3 linked regions of the Medicago truncatula genome follow. Each later gene encodes a partner of the first gene's protein in a complex. Links are inferred from orthologs where the notes say so. Each region holds a gene or a part of one and is shown on either strand. Other genes may lie near its edges.

Region 1 (7,273 bases):
GTCATGAATTTTGCAGCTGAGACATCGCTTGGAGTAGTTACTGTAAGAGCATTTGGCATGGTAGACAGATTTTTCAAAAACTACTTAAAACTTGTGGACACAGATGCTTCATTGTTCTTTCATTCTAATGTGGCAATGGAATGGGTAGTTGTAAGGGTTGAAGCACTTCAAAACTTGACTGTCATCACTGCAGCTTTGCTGATTATTCTACTTCCTCGGGGATATGTATCGCCAGGTAATATAATATAGGTTTAAATATATTTTTGGTCCATGCAAATATACAATTTTTCTGCTGTTAAACGCTGTAATTTCTATTTTTGTTTTTAGTCCTTATCAATATACCACTTTTTGTTTTTGGTCCTTGTTATTTTGTTTTAGTCCCTACTTTTTGTTCAAATTAAAATTAGATCGTGTAATAAGTGTGCAAAATTCATTTTAATCCTTACGCAGTTCATATTGGAGGGACTAAATCAAATGTTATGCATATTAACGAGACAAATTCCAGCATAAACAAATATTTATGGGGATAAAGTAAAACAACAAGGACCAAAAGTAAAATAAAAATGATAAAATTACAGGGACTCAAAGATAAAAATGGTAGATTTGAATGGATAAAAACAAATCTACACCTACGATATAATATGTCAATTACCATGATATGATTATGTTTAAACCAATAACTCTTGGCAACTCTCCTGTTCTGTGTTGCAGGCCTTGTTGGACTGTCTCTTTCTTATGCTTTTACCTTGACAGGAGCCCAAATATTTTGGACTAGATGGTTTTCAAATTTATCAAACCATATTATCTCTGTTGAAAGAATCAAACAATTCATTAACATACCAGCTGAGCCTCCTGCCGTTGTGGATCATAACCGACCTCCATCTTCATGGCCTTCCAAGGGCAAGATTGATCTTCAAGGCTTAGAGGTAATGTTCCATCCTTGTCTTATTTTCCACCTCTATTTTCGATGTTGTCGCCTATTTTATTTGTGACAACTGGACATAAAATTTTCCTATAATTTCTGTTTTTGTACTTCGATTTCAGATTAGATACCGTCCTAATGCTCCATTAGTCCTTAAGGGAATCACTTGTACATTTAAAGGAGGAAGTAGGGTCGGAGTTGTTGGAAGGACGGGAAGTGGAAAAAGTACACTGATTAGCGCTTTGTTTCGCTTAGTTGAGCCTTCAAGCGGTGATATTCTTATTGATGGGATAAACATTTGCTCAATGGGGTTGAAGGATTTGAGAATGAGGCTAAGCATAATCCCTCAAGAACCAACTCTTTTCAAGGGCAGCATTAGAACAAACCTGGACCCTCTAGGCCTGTACTCAGATGATGAAATATGGAATGTAAATGAACTAACTTCACAACTGGTAGAAAAATATGTATTTACTGAATGTAGCTGAATTTTATATGAGCCATTTAATACAAACCGGTTTGATTATATTTGATTTGTATGTTTAGGCTGTAGAGAAATGTCAGCTTAAGGAAACAATCTGCAAGCTACCAAGTCTCTTGGACTCTTCTGGTCAGTATTTTCTATGTTTGGTACCGGTTTCTTTCACATTGAAGCTACGCCTTCTCCTTTCTATTGTTCACTATATTATTTTACAACCAATAAATAAGGTATGAAAGTCTAATTCTGATAAGTTTTGCAGTGAGTGATGAAGGTGGAAATTGGAGCTTGGGACAACGCCAATTGTTTTGCCTCGGAAGAGTTCTACTTAAGAGGAACAAAATTCTTGTTTTGGACGAAGCTACTGCATCCATTGATTCAGCCACAGATGCCATTCTACAAAGAATAATCAGACAAGAGTTTGAAGAATGCACAGTTATAACTGTTGCTCACAGAGTTCCAACTGTAATAGACAGTGACATGGTCATGGTCCTATCTTATGGTATGTTAATTCCTTATTATTCTTTGCTTTTATTTCCTAGTAATATCCATTCCCTCATAATTTTCGGCCGGTTATTAAAGGGAAACTGGTGGAATATGATGAACCTTCAAAGCTAATGGATACCAACTCTTCATTCTCTAAGCTGGTAGCTGAATATTGGTCCAGCTGCAGGAAGAGTTCCTTCCCAAATATTAGCAGGAAGCATCAATGAATAATGGTTTAATGCAAAATAATGCTTATAAATAAATTGAAGGAAAATGGTTGGCAGGACAGTAGTTATGAGCCTAGAATAATAAAGGAAAAATATATGATTCCTTGAATTTTATTTTATTTTTGTTCTATAGACGAAGTGACAAAGATCGCTGAAACTCACACAATTCCCGGGTTTGAACCCGGTGAAGAGATTCAGCTCAACAACCTCAGCATTGTGAGTTGAGTTAGGTTTTACGGACATAAATTTTTATATATGTACATATTTCAATTTATTTGCTCTCTCTAATCTGTACCCAATAAATCTATTAAACCTGCAAATTAAATCGGTAGTAATTTCTTGCATAAATAATTGTCCACAACCTCATCTTTTGTTAGTAGACTTTTCAGTTTTTAGGTTATAACAATAGGCAAATTGTCATGAACCATATTATTGTTGAGTATGCCTCATAGTTACTCATAAGTGGACAAGCCAATCGAGGAAAGCGAGAATAATGACTTTAATGACGGTGACGTTGTAATCTAGACATAGTATTTGAGTACAAATTGTACACCATAAATAAACCCTAAGCTTGATATAACAGAAAGTGAGGTGCAGCCGCTTTATAGTCTCAAATGTATGCACAATTGAACTGAACTTCGTTATCAAACATTGTGTGATTTTTTATTCTTTTGAACCAGATTTACTGTGCTAACAGCTACGAATACGAAAATGTAATTAAGGAAAACTTAGTATTGGTTTGATTTTATATAAAATCTATAAATATGTATCATCATAATATAAATATAAAGGTTTTTTGCAAAGATAACATGATTTGACTCAATCAGATGAATTATGGCTGGTCTAAGTAAAGGGTCTTTTCATATCAAGTCCCATACTGGAAAGTTCTTCCTTGACATAACAAAGTCTCTTTCTCTAAGTCTCAAACTAGGGCAATAGTCTCCAATACCATCACCATGGTAGATAAATCTCTTGTTATCCACTTCAAAAATTGAATTTTGAATTCTATCTATGATTAAACCCTGAATAATGATTAAAAATTTAGTTTATCATGAATTTTAAAATAAAGACAAATAAAGATTTACTTCTTATATGGTTCGAAAGAATCTAGTGACGAAACTCACACACTAAATATTGAGAAGTGAGAAATTGCAAGTTCAAACTTGCGCCTTAACATATCAAATGTCTCTGCAACTACTATATGAGTTGTATTTAGAAAACAAAATTAGGAGCTAAGATTATTTTTTTATTGATTTAAATTTAAACTATGGTGGTCCCACATCAACATTTTTTTTGACAAAGTTTTAACATTATTCTTTATTTTATATTTTCATAAAATCTAATGGCCTAAAATAAAAGACAAAAAATCATTAAAAAAGGTATAGCACATGTTTGGAGGGTAAAGAGTGCAACCATGTGAAGCCTTGTTGAAGTGGTATGGTGACATTCTTAGTCTACCTTCTTCATTAACATAACCAAGATTAGTGTTAATCTCTGAGAAGATATTCACTTATTCCCAAATGCTTCAAAATAGTTTCAATGTAAAACACATTGGCATCGCTCACAATAACTCAAATCACACCCTAAAGCATGTGCTGATTTAATTGCAGGTACCATTATGTGAATTTATAGGAATCTTATGAAGCTCCATCATCATCATCTTGTCCTATAATTCCAAAACCAAAACACAAAATACTCACGTTAATTAACTATTTATTTATTTATAGACCATAAAAGATTATATAAAACAGAAAGATTGACACATACATCTGACATGACATGAACACGTTGACATTATCAATTTAAAAATATAGAAGATTAATACATATTTATCTATTTTATTATTATAATAAGATGGTTATAACATATAAGTCGTGATTAATATGTTCAACCATAATGAAAACTATGTGATCAAATAGAAAAAAGGTAAAAAAAATAATAATAATAAACCAATTAACATTATTACACCAAGATAAATACATTTTTGGTACGGCAAAAAAATAAAATATAATGTGATCAAAATTGCATTTAAGATAAGTAAAATTAACAATTAACATTATTACAGCAAGAGAAATAGATGTAGCAACAAGGTAAAATGCACACTCAATACGACATCGTTCGTATGTCCCGTGTCCTCCACAATTACACTTTCTAGTTCTCTCTTTCTCACCTCACCTCCAACAACAGAATCATCATTTCAAAGCTCGTTGAGTTGAATCGGAAATGGCGCAAGCGATTCGAAACGCGAAAGTACCACCAAACTCAGTGAATCTCTCTGAAGCGCGTCAACGAGTTTTCGAATTCTTCAGAAGCGCTTGTAGATCTTTACCTACCGTCATGGAGGTTTACAATCTTTACGACGTCGCTACCGTTTCTCAGCTTCGTTCTACCATCGCCGCTGAGATCCGCAAAAATGACCATATCACCAATCCCAAGGTACCTTTCCTTCCTTCTTCACCATTCATACTATAATACTATTCCAATTTCTTTTCTTTTTTTTAATTTCATGAAGGTAGTGTTTCAAGCTGGAGTTGTTAGATTGATTCAGAAAATGGTTATATGAATGTACATGTTTTGATTTAATATTAATTGGAATATATTGAAACCCTAGGGAATATCACTTTGTTGGCTCTATTGCGCTTAATTGTGTATTATGTTGACCGATTTTGGTTTATTGGTGATTAGTTACTTTTGGATGTGGTTTGAGGTAAATTGGTAAATTTATTTGTAGTAAAAGACAAATTTGTAATAGAAAATGCTACATAGATTTTTTTGCATTCCTTTTGTATATAGGTGTAGATAAAGATTGATATTCTCTTAGGCAGGAGAAAAACACACGACACTGACACATTGACACCAATAAAATTTTGAGAAAATGACTTGATTCAGTGTAATATAATGTTTATTTTCACCAAATTTATGTTTCTTTAGATTCACATTTGAAATTGAATGAGTGTTTTGTATAGATTATACGGGATTAGGCTTGCGGATGGTGCGTAATAGTTGGATATCTCAATTTTACACTTGAAGTGGATATGGAAGTTGGAAACTAACTTGCTTGTTTAAAATCAATAGGGATTTAAAAGCTTTTTTTTACAATGGATTTTAAAAGATGTTAGGTTGTAGTTGCTTATTGTCAAATGGATTACCTTGAATCTATTTCTCTGCTTCTGGTGTGTAAAACCTACCTAGCTGATTTAGAATTCTTGTGTAAGTTATTTAGTGTATCTTTGGATCAGTGTTTGCCAAACGTCATTTCAAATATACATGATTTGGCTGATTTTTTTATTTTTTTTTTCGTTCTTTCTAAAACCAAATTTGCTGTAAATTTTTCAACGTAATGTGAAATCCACTTGGAGGCAAGGTATTAGGCTTATTAGAGTCTTTCTCTTGGACTAATGAATGTTATCCTAGGCCTTGTTTGGATGGAGCTTATGGAAAATAGCTTTTGCAAATAAATAAGGTTTTATGTTAATTTATAAGTTCTTGCTAACAAAAATTGCATCTTCATAAGTCGTTTTTTCATAAACTAACTTAACAAGCTTATAAATAATACACAAAAGCTTATTTATATACATAAGTTGTTTTACATAAGCTCTAAAATAAGCCAATCCAAACAGGGACCTAGTCTCTCTTGTGCTATGTTTTTTCCCTGTACCTGTCTTTCTTAGTACCTTACATAGTGACAACTGTAACCATAATTGTTGTCGGCTGTATACTATCCCATAGCTCTATATATATATATGTTCATAGAGCCCTTGTAAGTTGTAACAACAACTATCCATGTTTCAGAATATCAATAATATGAGAACAAATTTTTCTGAATCTGATCTGATTCTACTATCGTATGGAATTAACGTTACAATGCCTTGGATATGATCTTTCTTCCTCCCTCCTCCACCGCTTCACGGCCTTACTTATCCAACTCATGGATCCTCAACCGGAGAATGTTGTTCCTCCTCCACAGTAGAACGTTCTGCCACCACAAGCTCCTTCTTCTCCGAGCATAACAGTCTCACAGAAGATCCCTGAAAAGTTGGATGCTCAAAAGTCAAAACTATCTTCTGTGGCACCAACAAGTTGAACCTGTTATTTGCAATCTTTGTCGCCATCACTTCCTTCAGAATCCACAGATCCCTATGAAATTTTCCATTGTCGAAGGAATTTGCAGTGGTGGAACTTCAACGTAAGGAGGATGAACAAATTTCTCCAGTCGAGGATCAATGAGTTGCAGAAGTAAGGCGGTGAATTGGTAGAGGAGGGGAGGGAAGGAGAAGAAGAATAGTACCCGAGAAATCTTAATCATGGTTCTTTGATACCATAATAGGATCATAGCAAATTGAGAGAAAACTCTTTCTCATATTATTGATAATCTGAAAAATGAATTCTTGTTCCAAGAACTCTGTTAACCTTTATATAGAGCTATGGGGACAGCCTAGATATATTCTAACTATAGCTGTCACTATATAGGTAGTTACACTTGCAAAGACAGTTGCATGAAAAATATCTGATACAAGAGGGACTAGGATAACTTCCAATAGTACAAGAGAAAGATTCTAATATTCACTCATTGAATTTGCTTTTTGACTGTTGTACTAGTATACTTCTTTAATGTTAGCTAGTATTTACAAAGCTCTAAGTTTTTGTTTACTGGCAATGATTATTCTCAATAGGCATAGTGATGTATTAAACACTGAGAAATGCATACAGTTTTGTTTTTTTTGGTCGAAAAAATGAAAACAATTATCTAATGGATATTAAGGTTATATTTAATTTGAATTAAAGTTGTTTTTTCACTAATAGTTGTAAAAATATCCCATTACTTTTACTTCATTCACTGTTCTCAAATATTTATACAAAAAATGGTGAAAATATTATAAACTTATCTTCACTAGTTCTTGTAAAAATCTTCAAAAGCAGGATATAAAATGAAACTAACATGACACATTTATAATTATTGTTGGCAAAAAAATGATTTTTTTTCAAATTTAATAGGCCTTAAGCGTATCAAAATTCACAGTTTGGTATGTTGGGTTTCTTAGTCTTTGGGGAATTTAGTGACATAATTTTCAAGGGGATAGAAGTTATATATAGTATGGTATGATAGGATGCAAAATTTCAATGTGATGTCTTATTGTCAAACTGTCGAGATTATGATTTAAA
Region 2 (7,145 bases), on another chromosome or scaffold:
ACAAAATGCTAGTTCAAAATATGTCGACACGGCAACTCAATAAGTTTGTAGAGTCCATGACAAATAGATATAAGAGGATGAGAGGTTCAGATGGCTAGGCATTAGGGTTTATACTGGTTTCATAACAACTTGATAATGTCTTAACATATTAGTAGCAAAATGACAATTGAATTTTGGGGAGCCACTTATCATGCGTTGAGACTAAACATAACTGGCAAATCATGGCACAGATAAGAAAACTAATGGGGGAGATAAGGAGAGGAGTGACAATCACATGGTTTGAACCCTAACATAACAATAATTAAACTAACATTTGTCATTCAAAAAAGAAACACAACAAAACACGACATCCCTGATCAAGTTATCGTTCATACAGACTACATGTAATTGAAACATTACAGATGAAGTTATACCCTCACATAACATGCAAACAAGACAATCAAACATAGTACGATTCATGAGCATACATTAAGAAGTGAGGACAGCGATAAGACCTTAATATTCTATAATCGTAAATCTAACAATTTTTATTGACATGAAAAATGGGAGCACAAAATGCAAAGTTATGTGATGCCAATACTAACAAAAGTAAAATACAACTCAAGCTGGCACATCCCCAGCCAAACACACTTCTGGGATTTAGAAGGGCGAGGAAACAAAGTTCAATTTTAGAAGCAAACAAGTGGAGCAAAAAATGTCTTAAGTTGAATGATTCTACACTACTTTATGATAAAGAAAATAAAAATTTTACAGCTAGCCTCATGAATTCCACTACTTTGCCTGAGGATGAGATGCAATGAAGTCAATTGCAAGATTAACAGAGTTGATCTTGTCTGCTTCATTATCAGGAATCTCAAACCCAAACTCTTCCTCAAGAGCCATCACAATCTCTACAGCATCCAAACTATCCAATCCAAGGTCATTCTGGAAATGAGCACTTGGGGTAACCTGACAAATGGAAAGAAGCACAGGCTCCATGTTAACAAGAGAGCATAAGCTAAAATTAAAATAGTACACAATTGCTGGCAGAGGGATTTGAATTCTCCAAAATGACACACACACTTCAAACAGTAAAGTGTAAGGTTATTTAACAGTTGTGCAAGTTTACACTATAGCCCAGTTCGGATTGGTTTATTTGTATACTAGCATATAAACTTGTGAGACTAATTGGGAGAGGTTATTTAAACAGCTTACGACATGTCCATTTAACTTCTTTCCTAAGCTCTCTAGGAAAACAGCTAATAACTTATTTGAAAACAGTTCGACTTTATTTCATCTCATGTGATAGAAATTGTTATACTTACGTACTTATACGATAATCAATTAATTAAGCTGTAACTTGTAAGTTTATCCAAACAAAGCCTTAATCCATGAAATATTCACTTAAGAGAGATCTGACACTGGGCAGTGATAATTTCATCGCAAACAGTAATGTTTATTTTGATGAAAGATCTAGCATAGAATACACCTCATATAACTAAAACAATATTATTATCGGTTGCTATATGATGTCTACAAACAAGTGTAGCTTAAAAATGATAGTATTTGAGAATTGAGGGTAATTCTTACATGGATACAATATCTACAGAACTTTAGAAAAAATTTACCAACACAACCAATCAAAACCAAGGATTATATAGATATTTTTGCATTGCATTTTACTGGTGCCTTTAGCTTCATATAAGAATTGCTCATTGATGGCATGGTAAAGTGGGTAGCAACATTAAAGGAAGGTCATGAGTCTGTTTGATATATTTGAGCTCATCTACTCACGTAAGCATTCGAACATTGTTCAGGAGAGCTTATGGAAACAACCAATGACACATCCATAAGCTAGATTATTTCCTTAAGGTCTCCAAAGTAGCTTATGAAGTGTTTGGATTGGCTTATCAGAGCTTATATACGACATAAGTTTTGTGAGACTCAGAAGAACTTGTGAAAACAGCTTATGACAATTTTCATAAGCTTTTTTCATGTTAATTTCATAAGTTCTCCAATGTAGGTTATAAAAATAGCTTATAGCATATACAAAAATAATTTAACTTTATTTTACCTTTCGCTATATAAGTAGCTTATGTAAGCTTATACATATGCACTTATCATGCTATGCTATAAGCTGCAAATAAGCTGTTTATCCAAACACGCCCTATAACTTATATGAAAACAATGTAATTCACTTTATCTTTAGTTATAGGAATAAAGAATTATGCTATTAGTGCTTAATTAATCCGTTGATCCAAACATTACCTAATTATCGGAAATAATTTTTTTGCAAAATAAGTTAAAATAAATCAAGAACTAATGGCAAATAAACCGGCAAAGTTAACAGCTAAACCTAACAATGACATCACGTTAATGATGAATGAAACAATAATTAGGAGATTGAAAAAAAAAACGAATAATAATAATAATAGTAGAAGAATAAATATACCTTAGAAGGATCAACTTTCTGGAAGTTTTTGACGCAAGAAACGACGCGATCTGTGACCTCAGATTTGTCGAGAAACGTACCCCTAACCTCTTCGCTGAAGCGACGAAGGAAAAAATTGGGAATAAGACGGAAAGGAGATTGGTGATTCAGTGGACGAGAATCAACCTGCACTCTCAAGTAGTTGATCAGAGGTAAACCGGTTCTTCTCGCCGCCATTGTTGTAGATGTCAAAAACCTCACTCTTCTCTCTCTCTCTCTCTGCTTATAGCTCCACGCGATGAATGAGATGAGAATAGTGAAGTTAGATGAAATGAAACCTTTGGTTCTAATATTGGGTTTTATGGGTTTTACCCGTTAGGCCCAAGCCCAATTTCAAGGTTGTGTTTGTGAAGATGCATACGTTGCTTATGTCAACTCCATAATCTAGGCTATGGTGTATTCATGTGAATTTAATTCAAATATATGTACCTTTCTGTCAAAAAATATTAATATATATATGTACTTTATAAAGGAGAAATTATTGGTCCAAGTGGTAACAAATTTTTTTATTAAAAAGTTAGATAAGAAATACTATTAAGCAGAACAATCGAAGCAAGAAATGTTAAGATTAAAAGAATATAAAAAAAACACTTAAACATATCGGCACTACCAAACCAACAAACACAAAAAAAAAATCAAAATCTAAGTGTAATCACTCCTAAGTATCTTAGCGGTTACGTATTTCATTGATAAAAATTGTAGGAAACACTCTTGGATTTAGTTTTAATCTAAATCAAAAATAATAATATTATTTGTGTAAAAATATCATACATAAATTTAATTATACTTCATTGTATATCGCTTGGTTCGTTCCTGAGCCATTGAAAGAGATATGTTGTGATACCATTTGTAATGCTCTAGTCTGCTTTCAAGTTTGTCGATCAATCCTAAAAACCAACACGACTCTTTTTATTGTGTTTTGTCATCATTCACACACTTTATGGTAGCTTCCAAAGAGTTATCCATCCAAAAATTGTTCAAAGTTAAGCACGCTTAAGTATGAAATTCTTATCTCAAGGGCTATAAAAAAATAATATGCATATTGTTGGTGAGAAGCTCTTTTATGAGCACAACCCTAAATTTTAGATGAGAATAAAATTAGATGATGTTGATTGATGTAAATATATTATTTTTGTTTTAATTTTTCCATTTGATGTGAGTGTGCCCAAATGCTTTTCATTTGGGGTTGTGACCATAAAAGAATTTTTCATTGTTGGTATAGGTAGTATCGATCAATCCTTATGACCTTCCTTCAATCATATAGTCTCGTACTTTCATGGTTTCAGAATCTCTTTCATTTCGATGTAATTTGATTCACTCATGTATTGCTTTGCTAAAAGAATGCCAAGAGTCGGTCATTATATGTGTCATGCGCACCGTCGATCACTCCCAATCCTCGTTGGCTTCAAGTGTCACTCTTTCGACATATTTTTTATTTGGTGCCTCTCCTGCAATGTTTTACTATCTAACTTGGTGGACCACATTACATGCATTTTGGTTTCAATTGACTATGATTAGATTACATTTCGAGGATCCATTATTGGAATTTGAACAATTGGTGTATTCTAATTTTCCTAATTGCCTTCTTCATTAACTAGATTTTTATTTACATGTGGGTTATTGTTAGTTTCATTACGGGTTGGAATTTCAAGGATCTTTTATTGCAAGTATGTTCCATTGGCTCCAATTTTGCCGAAACTGGACTCTTCGTAGTTGAATTTTAATAGCATGTTGGAGTTGGAGGAGGAGGTTGTGGGTGTGGGAGGAGGAGATGCTAGGGGAGTGTATTATTTTACTTAGTAATGTTTTCTTGCAGTGCACTGTGAAAGACACTTGGAGATGGCATATGGATCCTATTGCAGGTTATACAGTCAGCAACACTTACCTTTTACTGACTACTCCCGACATTCCTCAGGTGGAAGGTGCAGATGCTCTTGTTTGGCATAAACATGTTCCCCTTAAGGTCTCAATATTTGTTTGGCGGTTGGTAAAAAATAAGTTGTCTGCACGATCAAATCTGATGCAGCGCGGTATCCTCTCAGCTTCGGACGCAGGTTGTTTGCTAGGGTGCGGCCAAATCGAGACTTCTCAGCATTTATTTATTTCGTGTAGTTTTTATGGCACTTTGTGGAGTCAGGTGCGGTCTTGGCTTGGTGTCTTAGGCCCTGACCCCATTATTGTCTCAGATCACTTCCTTCAGTTCTCTCATTCAGCAGGTGGAGTTCGTGCAAGGTGCTCCTTCTTGCAGCTTGGTTGGTTGGTTACTGTGTGGCTCATTTGGAATGATCGTAATCAAAGGTTGTTTAACAATACATGTAGCTCTATTGATCAGTTGATGGATAAAGTAAAGCAGAACTCTATTTGGTGGCTAAAAGCTCATAATGTTGTTTTTGTTTTTGGGTTCCAATTGTGGTGGTCAAGTCCTTTAGCTTGTTTGGGACTAGGCTAATTTTTGTTTGACTTTGTATATTTGTAAATATTATGAGCCTTCCTAATACATCTTGTACTTGGAGGTGCCCGTGGTTTGTTAATATAAGTTTCATTTTTTATTGTTAAAAAAAAAAAGAAAATCATCTTTGAGATTGATACACTCTCTCTTTTTTATATGGCCATGAAGAGGTCATTCTCCTTATTTTGCTCCACAAGGTTTATTTGTTTCTCTCCTAGAGAGACAAATCAATGTTACCAAATATAAATAAATCATTACGCTTTTTTAAAGAAAAATGTAAAGGATATAATTTTAAAAAATGTATACAAATAAACCCATTTATATTTAAAAAAATATTTTTTTTCAACAAGTTACTATTTGCAAATTTAAAATAAAGATGTAAATATACCAATTCTAAAAAAAGATGAAAATATACCAATAAAATAAGTAGAAACATATTACTTATGATGATAAATCAAAGAGTGGTTTTGTTTGGAGTACATTTGATATGTTGAGGTATGAACTTAAATCTATAATACTTTTCTTTTCTACACTTTGCATGCTGAGTTTTGCTACTATCATTTTCTTTTATAGAATACTGAATACGTAGTATTACTACTTTCCTTGATTTCATTAATATTTTCTACTATTTTCTAGCCTATAACATTATTTAATTCCTTTATTTCATTAATATCATTACTTTATAAATATTCACAAATTTTCTTGTAGTTTGAACTTTTAAACCTTTATTTGAGAGAATTTCACAATTTACTTAACTCAGTTGGTAAGGACAATGCATGATATATGTAAGGTCTAATGTTCGAATTCCAGACACCACCAAAAAAAGAGATAATTTCACAATTTATAATTTAAAATTATTATTCTTGTAGTTTTGAACTTTTAAACTTTTCTTTGAGAGAATTTCACAATTTATATTTTAAAATTAATTATCATGACTTTTGCCTACCTTTGATTACCTTTGTACATACACTTTTTATGGCTATAAATAAATAAGGCATTTTTCAAATCCTAAAACATCACACAAAATAGAGAATTGAGAATTGTAATAGAGATGGGTAAGATACACATTGAAAAGTGTCATGGAAATAAGCATGATAAAAGAAAATGTGTTACGATGATGCTAATGATTATATTAGTTACAATATAAATTGAATGTATTCTTCCATCTAAAGAGTTCGGTGTTAATTAAATCGAAAGAAATTTAATATTTTAAAATGTGAATCAAATATATTCTCTTTAACAAGAGGACATGGTAATATTTGCAAATGTCGAAAATAAGTTATTTTATAGTAGTAAAAACTTAATCATAAATCCTTAAAAAAAAAAAAAAAGAAACTTAATAATCATAATGATAATTTAATAGATTTTGATATAATATGATTGTTAAAGTTGAAATATCATTAATTACGCCATGAATGATAATGACCTTAAAACGTTCAAAAGTTGATTCTAATAATTTCTAAACGCCTGGTATCATCCTTGGTTTGCAGTGTATTGTAGCAGTTGAGCAGCAGCAATGTTGGTTCTGTTCCTCTTTATCTTCCTCTTGTTACTCTTCTTATTCAAATTCGCCACTGCCTATGGTATTTTCTCACTCACTTTTTAAATCTCTTTATTTTAATAATTTTTTTGGATGCTTATTACTGTTTTGTTCAATTTATTAGGTGATTTCACTTTGATGTCAAAGAAAAAACCAAAACATGAACTAATTGAAGATAAGGTTGAATTTCTCATGCTACTGCTATTATTGATACCATACTGAAATGAAATGATTCAGTTCTTATGTTATTTGTTTCATTTCTTTCCAGGTTTTTTGGATTACTGGTGCCAGTCGTGGAATTGGTATAACTATAACTATACTCTTTTATTTAATTCATTTCACACTTATATTTCCATAGGATTATTTATATTTCATAATTTAATTCAAATTCTCCCAGAATGAAATCACTTTGTTGGAGACTAGTAAAAGAACCTGATTTTGAATGACGTCTGACAACTTGGTCCTTCTGTTAACTTGTAAGGAGTAGTTTCACAATAAGTGATACAATTCAAAAACTCATTTCCTCGTAAGTGATATAATTTAGGGACTAATTTGAAAGTAAATTAGATCCAAGTTATCAAAAGGACCAACCTGCTCGACTTAATTCAAATTTTTGAGTCTTCTCTGTCTTTTCGCAAATTTCAGAGGCAAAATTGGTGATTATTCAATTTGATTAACCCTTAGGC
Region 3 (7,112 bases), on another chromosome or scaffold:
TCAGATTAGGATGATGTCTAAATATTTTTACCTTTTAAATTGAATATTTGATATTTCACGAAGCAGATAATAGCTGACAATGGTTGTATAAAATGTGATTTTGGCTAATTTCAAATCATGTGTTTATAAATATGTTGGATTGACTTTCTACACATACACGCTCACAGGTTCTCACACTCATGTGCATGCATATTTACCACACTTGGTAAAAATTTGGATTAACCCAGTTGATTACAGAATCCATACTGTTTCTAAGATTTATGTCATAATTGGCACCTTTGTTAAGTTTGCTTATGCGATGCATGTAGTTGGAGTAGACTTCATGCTTTTCATGTTTAGACTGTTCACGTGTTATATGCCCGCTTCCATTTTCCTGGTACTGCACTTGTGAACTTGACATGATTAAACGGCTAAGTTGATGCTCGGTAATTTAATATTGATGTAAAATCTTTTACAGGTACGTTCCAGCATATTCAACACGGTTATCATTTGAATCAGGAGTATGGAGTGTTTTGCCCCCAAATTCCTCAGACAAAATGGGGGTCGTAGATCCAGTCTGGACAGAAAGTAACTGGAATACAGTAGGCATTCGGATCTACACAGTCCAAATTGCTGCTTATGACCGGGTTGTTCTGTTTGGGGGAATGACTCTTACACTCTTGGCATACCTTGGAATAGCAGTTACAAGAACTTTCGTTGCCAAAGCAACAAAGAGGGATTGACACTATTAAATTTATGAAAGCTAACTACTAAATTTTGTGAAACTAGGGCAAAATTAAATAGGTTGATAGGAAAATTACTAGTTTCTGGAAAATTTGTAAGGATGTGAATTATTTAGGCCACATTCTTGTGCTTGTGAATTTATCTGCAACAAGACCATTTTTTATCACTTGTAGTTAAGTGTTAGGAAATGTAATGAAAACAAAAAGTAAAAAGCTTGGTGTGTTTGTGTTGTGTATTTCTGTAGTCCTAGTTAGTGAGCAGCAGCGTAATTTTTAATTTAATCCTTGTTAAATTATTAAAGTTCCAGTTAAGCTAATTGAATTGCGACACCTAAGTATAGTAGATGTAACGTTTAATTTGATTTTCTAAACATTAATCAATACATACTTTAGCAGAAATAGACATCAAATATACTACTAGATGTTACCCAATATTTCTCAACAAAAGAGGTTTCAATCGATCCGATATTTGATTTGAAATTAATTTTCATATATTGTCGGTGTTAAAGTTTTTATATTGGTAATCAATCACAAATCATTATTTTTATGGCGATTCAACAATTGTGATCGACTATTTGTGCATATGAATTAAATCTATTTTATTTTGATCAAACCATCTCAGTGTCTTGATTAAATTGAAAAGACTTAAGCTTATTAATAAGCCATTAGTTTCTTCTTTTGGTACAACGTTCTCCAAAGTTCTAGTGGACGTGCTTATTTTTTTCTTCATTGAAATCGAAAGGCTGAAAGCAGACTTGGAAATAGGCTTCATGTCCGAAGCATTTATATTGAAAGGCATGAAAGGTGACACGGTTACTCTATTAACGCCCTAAATACTACTCCCTCCATTCATTTTCTTTTGATGTTTTAGCTCTTGACACAAATTTTAAGGAGTAATTAAAGTATATAAACATTTGTGTGTTTTTTACTTAAATGTCCTTATTTATCATTAAATTCACATGTGATAAACCAAAGGTCACAAGTACTTTAATAGTTTATTGTGTTTTCCAACAAGGGTAAACTTGAGAAAACAATAATAAATTCACTAAAACATCAAAAGTTTTGGAATATAGTTGAAGTTCTAAAACATCAAAAGAAAAGGAATGGAGGGAGTATAAACTTAGTGTTAGTTGAAACCGATGAAGATTCAATAACGTTTGAAATTGAAACTGGTCACTATTTTCAATAATGTTTGGTTCCATTTTAGGTGAGAGTTTAGCAAAAGCTACGCTTTGCAACTTTATCACAAAGTCTTTTTCGTGAATTCAAACATAATTGATTTTGACATATTTGATTGCTTTTAAGTAGAATTAGTTTTTGCTCTGGATAATGATTTAAAGTTAAATTAAGAGCTTTTGCTTCAACAATATATATTTATTCTTAAATTTATTTCATATCGTGCTCGTAGTTTGTCACACGATTTAAGGAACTCTCATGTTGAGTTTGTCTATATATAAGTCAATGAGCTTGTCCATACACTTTTAAAGGTGACCCCATTTTTAGTTGGATTGAACGTTTCTCTTGATATCCCAAATCTCAACATTTTATTCAAGATACTACTATGAAAGAAATGCTTTGAGCTTTTTATCGCGAAAAACAAATATCACTTTACAATTTACATTCAGCTCATTTTTATTCGAAAACAATTTTACACGATCAATGCATTCAAAAATCAGTTGTTCTCACTACATAGCTAAACATACGAACTTGAGTCATTAAAGATCAATTGAGATAGGTTAGTTTAGCTTCTTCAACAAAAAAAAAGATCATCTGAGATGTGAGCTAGCCAAACGGCCAACCGAACGTTGAATATGATCAGTAACTTATTTAACTCTAGCAAACCATGAAACAGCTTGATGTTCTCAACCTGTAAAGATCATACATGAGTTTGATTATGCTCCCAAAAATCCTCACTTACATTGTGGGAATTGAAAGCCTTTTAACTATACTAACCCTTTATCAATGCGCGAACCTAGACTCTCTATTCGAGTGAGTTCCACTTCTCTTGAAGCGTAATATCCTTATAATTAAGCCAAAAAATTTATAGCATTATTTCTTAAAAATTGAAGATACCTTAACATTTAAAAAATATAGCTTCTCTTCACGTGTCTTTATACACTCTCAAATATATCATTTTCTCTACATGTAACTAAACAATTATTAAAAATTGATCTTCAATATTTTAGGGCATTGTTTAAGCATCTTAAAGTAATAACTTTTACATTTTTTTTTTTTATGGAAAAGTGCTTATAGCATTTCATTGATAATAAGAGTTTCAATACATTCGGGTAAATTAAAATAAACAACCGGACTAGCTAGTAACGTGACTTCTCTTGAAAGAGCATGGGCAACCTCGTTGGTTTGTCGCCTAACAAACTCTATCCTAGAGTTAGAAAACAGGGAGCTAAAAAAAAAAACGACAAGATGAAATAATACAACAAAATTTAGTAACTTTTACATTGAAAATATATAATTATGACTTTTATATGCGTTTGACTTGTATTTTTAAGACAATTTTCTTTTGAGAGTTCCTTAAACAATGTCCTTGGAAAATTTGTTAGCAAAACTCATACATTAATCAATCTAATAAAGTTTCAATTAGTGGTTTTGCGGGGTCAAAGCTAGATTTGAAGAGGGGGCAATAAATTTTAATGACTAGTTACAAAATATTTGAAGGAGTAGGGTCAAGTGCCCCTATTTTGGTCAAGTGACTATAGCTCACACAATTTAATTGTGGAGAAGTGGGGTGTCTGAGGTTCGAACCCCGGCCCCTGCATATAATATGCAATATCCTTACCAACTGAGTTAAGCTCACGGGATAAATGTCCCCCATTTAATATAGTGGATTTGTGCCCGTGTCCCGTGGACATTGCTTAAGGAATCCATAAATAAAAAATTTGTTTTGAAAGTATATAAGTTCTTATGTTTGATCAAATATTGATTACACTCCATTTTCTTAAAAATTTATTTGCTTTAGTTGTTTAACCAATATCTCTAGACATCGTCTTTACATTTTCCAAAAAGATTATGGGATGTGTTATTTGAACAACCACTTGATTGACAACTTATTGAACAACCATATATTTATAAAGAAAAAATAGGTATTGACACAAAAATCAAAGTAACAGCAAGATAAAGTAAAAACATATTGAGAATAGAGTGAAAAAGTTATCTCAAAAGTCGTGATAAAATGAACGTACAAATATCATTTCTTTATTTGATAAATGATATTTGTACAATCATTTTATGACAATTTTTTTTTCTTACTAATATTATATTTTTAATTTCTTTCCCGTCAATAGCTATAGAAGTTATGACATGAATGGTTATTCAAATAATACAACTCTTATATATCTACTTGCCTAAGAGCATGTGATAAACGGGTCCGAAGCAAACCCGAATCTGAAATCGGATCAATTCAACTATCTCACCCATAACTCCATACAAAATTCATTTCCTTCTTCCTTCACCTCTCCCACCTCACTCTCCCATCTTTTCTCAAATTCAACCTCCCATCTCCGATCCAACACCCTTCTTTCTCACAAACTCACAATCAATTGATTGAATCAAAATGGGGCTGGGTTTGTTAGCTTCCAAGACCCTCCGACCAACCACCACTCGCCTCCTCCTCCTCCGTTCAATCACCACCAAACCAGAACTCCGCAAACCCGAACCCGCCGCTCAACCCCAACCCGAACAGCCTCTCGTCGATCTCACTCCCCGTACACCCGTCGCTGGCGCTAGAGTCCATTTCACCAATCCCGATGACGCTATTGAGGTTTTCGTCGATGGTTATCCCGTTAAAATTCCAAAAGGATTCTCTGTTCTTCAAGCGTGTGAGGTTGCTGGTGTTGATATTCCTAGATTTTGTTATCATAGCAGACTTTCCATTGCTGGAAATTGTCGTATGTGTCTTGTTGAGGTTGAGAAATCTCCTAAGCCTGTTGCTTCTTGCGCCATGCCCGCTCTTCCTGGTTAGATTCTTCATTTTTTTTTTAATTTATTTATTTATTTTATGTTTCTGGATTTGCATTTCATTGATAATTTTTTGTATGTGTTTTGTTTATCTCAAAAAGTTTAATTTTTTATTTTTTTTATTTTGTTTCATGTGATGGATTGTTGGACGGTAAAGAATCAACATGAGAGTAAAATAAGCATAGCAAAGATTAGGATGTTGTGTTAGATGTGTGGTACAATTTAATTAAAAACACAATATTAGAGAGATAGAGTTGGGGTAGCCACCTATTGGAGAAAAGATGGTAGAAACTCGACTTAGGTGATTTGGGCTTGTAGAGAAAAGACCTGTAGATTTTGTAGTAAGGAGTGTAGATTAGATGGAGAATAGTCTGATCACTAGAAGCAAAGCTAACCTAGAAAGACTTTAAGAGAAACTATTGAGAAATATGTAGAGATTAATTAGTTGGGTAGAAATATGATACTCCCTCCGTTTCAAAATACATGTCCATTTTGGAGAAATTGCAGTAACCAAGAAACCAAATAAATTTTCTTATTTTTGATGAAAATATGTGTGTGTTTTCTATAATACCCTTAACCATTTATTATTTCTTTTTTTTTTTCTCTACAATAAATATGCAAGGGCATTATTGACAAGACAATAATTAATGTTGCATTGAAACTTGAAAGTGACAAGTATTGTGAAACAAAATTATTCTCTAAAATGGACAAGTATTATGAAACGGAGGGAGTATATGATAGAACATTATTGCGACGTTTGTTATTGTTTGTTGTTGTTTGAGTTTCATCTTGTTTGTGACTTGAGTGATCTTTTGATTAGTTCAAGGCTAAGGGTATTGAACTTGGTTGATGATTGTGTTGTTGCTTGTTGTTATTTTCAAATTTTTAGTTTGTTGAACGTGTTATGAATTTTGATACTAGTGAACCATCTATTACATTTCCTTTTAACCGTCTCGATGAAATTTCTGTTTTTATTTTTGATTTAGCTTTTGTCTGTTTATTTTTGCTGTTAGTTTTGTTCAAAAATAAAATCTAGTACTTTGTCTTTAAGTTTTTTTTGCATACGCTGATTTTCAGATTTTGCGTTACAACTTATACTTCTTTCTACTTTAATTTTTTAATTAGAGAGATATTTGATATAAAATTATCATATGTTTAGCTGGTTTGGGGATATCATCTATTTTTTTTTACCCGATCTTACTTTTAAATTCATTTGGTATTATGACACCGACACACATAAACGACCTTGATTTTGTTTAGTTGAGGTTTTTAACTATTTATTGTTTTGATTCTTGTTAAAAATGTAATATGATCATATGTTCAATTTAGGGATGAAAATCAAGACCGACACACCTATTGCCAAGAAAGCACGAGAAGGAGTGATGGAATTTTTATTGATGAATCATCCATTAGATTGCCCAATTTGTGATCAGGGTGGAGAGTGTGATCTTCAGGATCAGTCAATGGCATTTGGTTCTGATCGTGGTCGTTTCACTGATATGAAGAGATCTGTGGTGGATAAAAATCTTGGACCTTTGGTAAAGACTGTGATGACACGGTGCATTCAATGTACAAGGTTCATTTTTCCCTGCAAACTTGATTATCTTTACGTACACATTTTAATAACTATATCTTACCTTGGAAGCTAGAAATTTGTTGTGACTTTTAATGTCTAAAAGAAAGTATCAAGTGGTCTATTCATGTTAATAGAGTATGTTTATGATAATCTTGTAAGAATTAAGGACCTCATTGAGTTGCACACACACACACACACATATATATATATATATATATATATATATCTTTTTTATTTTTTTATTTTTTTAAATTAAGCAGTGGTCATTGTTACAGTATGATAGTTTGCGAGGGAACTTATGGGTCAACTTTTTCTGTATATGATTAAAATAATAATCTGAACTGATGCCTCTTCAAAAATAAAATAATCTGAACTGATGATTTAGTTTGGTTGTATGTTTTACTTACTCTCATGTCAGCTAAGGGCCAGCTAGGTTTCTTTTAATTTATGGTTAATGACATTTGGTAGCAATAGGCGTTGGCTATTTTGTAAAACCTAATCTTCAATATTTGGTAGCCTTCCTCTTTTTGTTGTCAATTAAATGTTATATGTATCGTGATTATTTTATCTGAGTTCCTTAATGGATCTTGTGGAATATCACTTTCTTCCCACAGGTGTGTTAGATTTGCATCAGAGGTTGCAGGGGTTCAGGATCTTGGCATGTTAGGTCGTGGTAGTGGAGAAGAGATTGGAACATATGTTGAAAAACTCATGACAAGTGAACTCTCTGGAAATGTAATAGATATCTGCCCTGTAGGAGCACTCACTTCAAAACCTTTTGCATTTAAAGCCCGGAATTGGGAGTTGAAGAATACAGAGACCATTGATGTTACTGATGC

Evidence for each region.
Region 2: the proteins of NADH dehydrogenase [ubiquinone] 1 alpha subcomplex subunit 6 (region 1) and acyl carrier protein 2, mitochondrial are in contact, whole or in part, in a cryo-EM structure (PDB 8BEE), measured with the Arabidopsis thaliana proteins. The link is inferred for Medicago truncatula from reciprocal best matches to the Arabidopsis thaliana genes AT3G12260 and mtACP2. Residues at the interface, in NP_566416.1 of Arabidopsis thaliana: Phe27, Asp28, Phe30, Arg31, Cys34, Arg35, Arg56, Tyr57, Ser60, Ile63, Arg64; in NP_176708.1 of Arabidopsis thaliana: Phe61, Gln62, Asp82, Ser83, Leu84, Asp85, Val87, Glu88, Met91, Ala92, Glu94, Glu95, Glu100, Ile101, Asp103.
Region 3: the proteins of NADH dehydrogenase [ubiquinone] 1 alpha subcomplex subunit 6 (region 1) and NADH dehydrogenase [ubiquinone] iron-sulfur protein 1, mitochondrial are in contact, whole or in part, in a cryo-EM structure (PDB 8BED), measured with the Arabidopsis thaliana proteins. The link is inferred for Medicago truncatula from reciprocal best matches to the Arabidopsis thaliana genes AT3G12260 and EMB1467. Residues at the interface, in NP_566416.1 of Arabidopsis thaliana: Lys120, Thr121, Phe123, Leu124, Phe127, Tyr128, Thr129, Ser130, Asn131, Tyr132, Phe133; in NP_568550.1 of Arabidopsis thaliana: Trp361, Arg362, Leu365, Ser621, Pro645, Thr646, Ala650, Arg651, Asp652, Trp654, Lys655, Ile656, Arg658, Ala659, Glu662, Val663, Asn671.

Annotation. Positions count from the first base shown.
Region 1 is NC_053049.1:15,314,826-15,322,098, reverse strand, and holds the start of NADH dehydrogenase [ubiquinone] 1 alpha subcomplex subunit 6, read left to right. Parts: upstream 1-4,181; 5' UTR 4,182-4,333; coding exon 4,334-4,546; intron 4,547-7,273. UniProt on the Arabidopsis thaliana protein: Accessory subunit of the mitochondrial membrane respiratory chain NADH dehydrogenase (Complex I), that is believed to be not involved in catalysis. Complex I functions in the transfer of electrons from NADH to the respiratory chain.
Region 2 is NC_053048.1:37,332,842-37,339,986, forward strand, and holds acyl carrier protein 2, mitochondrial, read right to left. Parts: upstream 2,739-7,145; 5' UTR 2,648-2,738; coding exon 2,432-2,647; intron 949-2,431; coding exon 772-948; 3' UTR 502-771; downstream 1-501. Other genes in the region: dehydrogenase/reductase SDR family member 7, read left to right, coding at 6,436-6,502, 6,584-6,639, 6,728-6,761. UniProt on the Arabidopsis thaliana protein: Carrier of the growing fatty acid chain in fatty acid biosynthesis. May be involved in the synthesis of short and medium chain fatty acids.
Region 3 is NC_053044.1:32,876,572-32,883,683, forward strand, and holds the start of NADH dehydrogenase [ubiquinone] iron-sulfur protein 1, mitochondrial, read left to right. Parts: upstream 1-4,097; 5' UTR 4,098-4,293; coding exon 4,294-4,696; intron 4,697-6,026; coding exon 6,027-6,273; intron 6,274-6,887; coding exon 6,888-7,112. Other genes in the region: nicastrin, read left to right, coding at 458-722.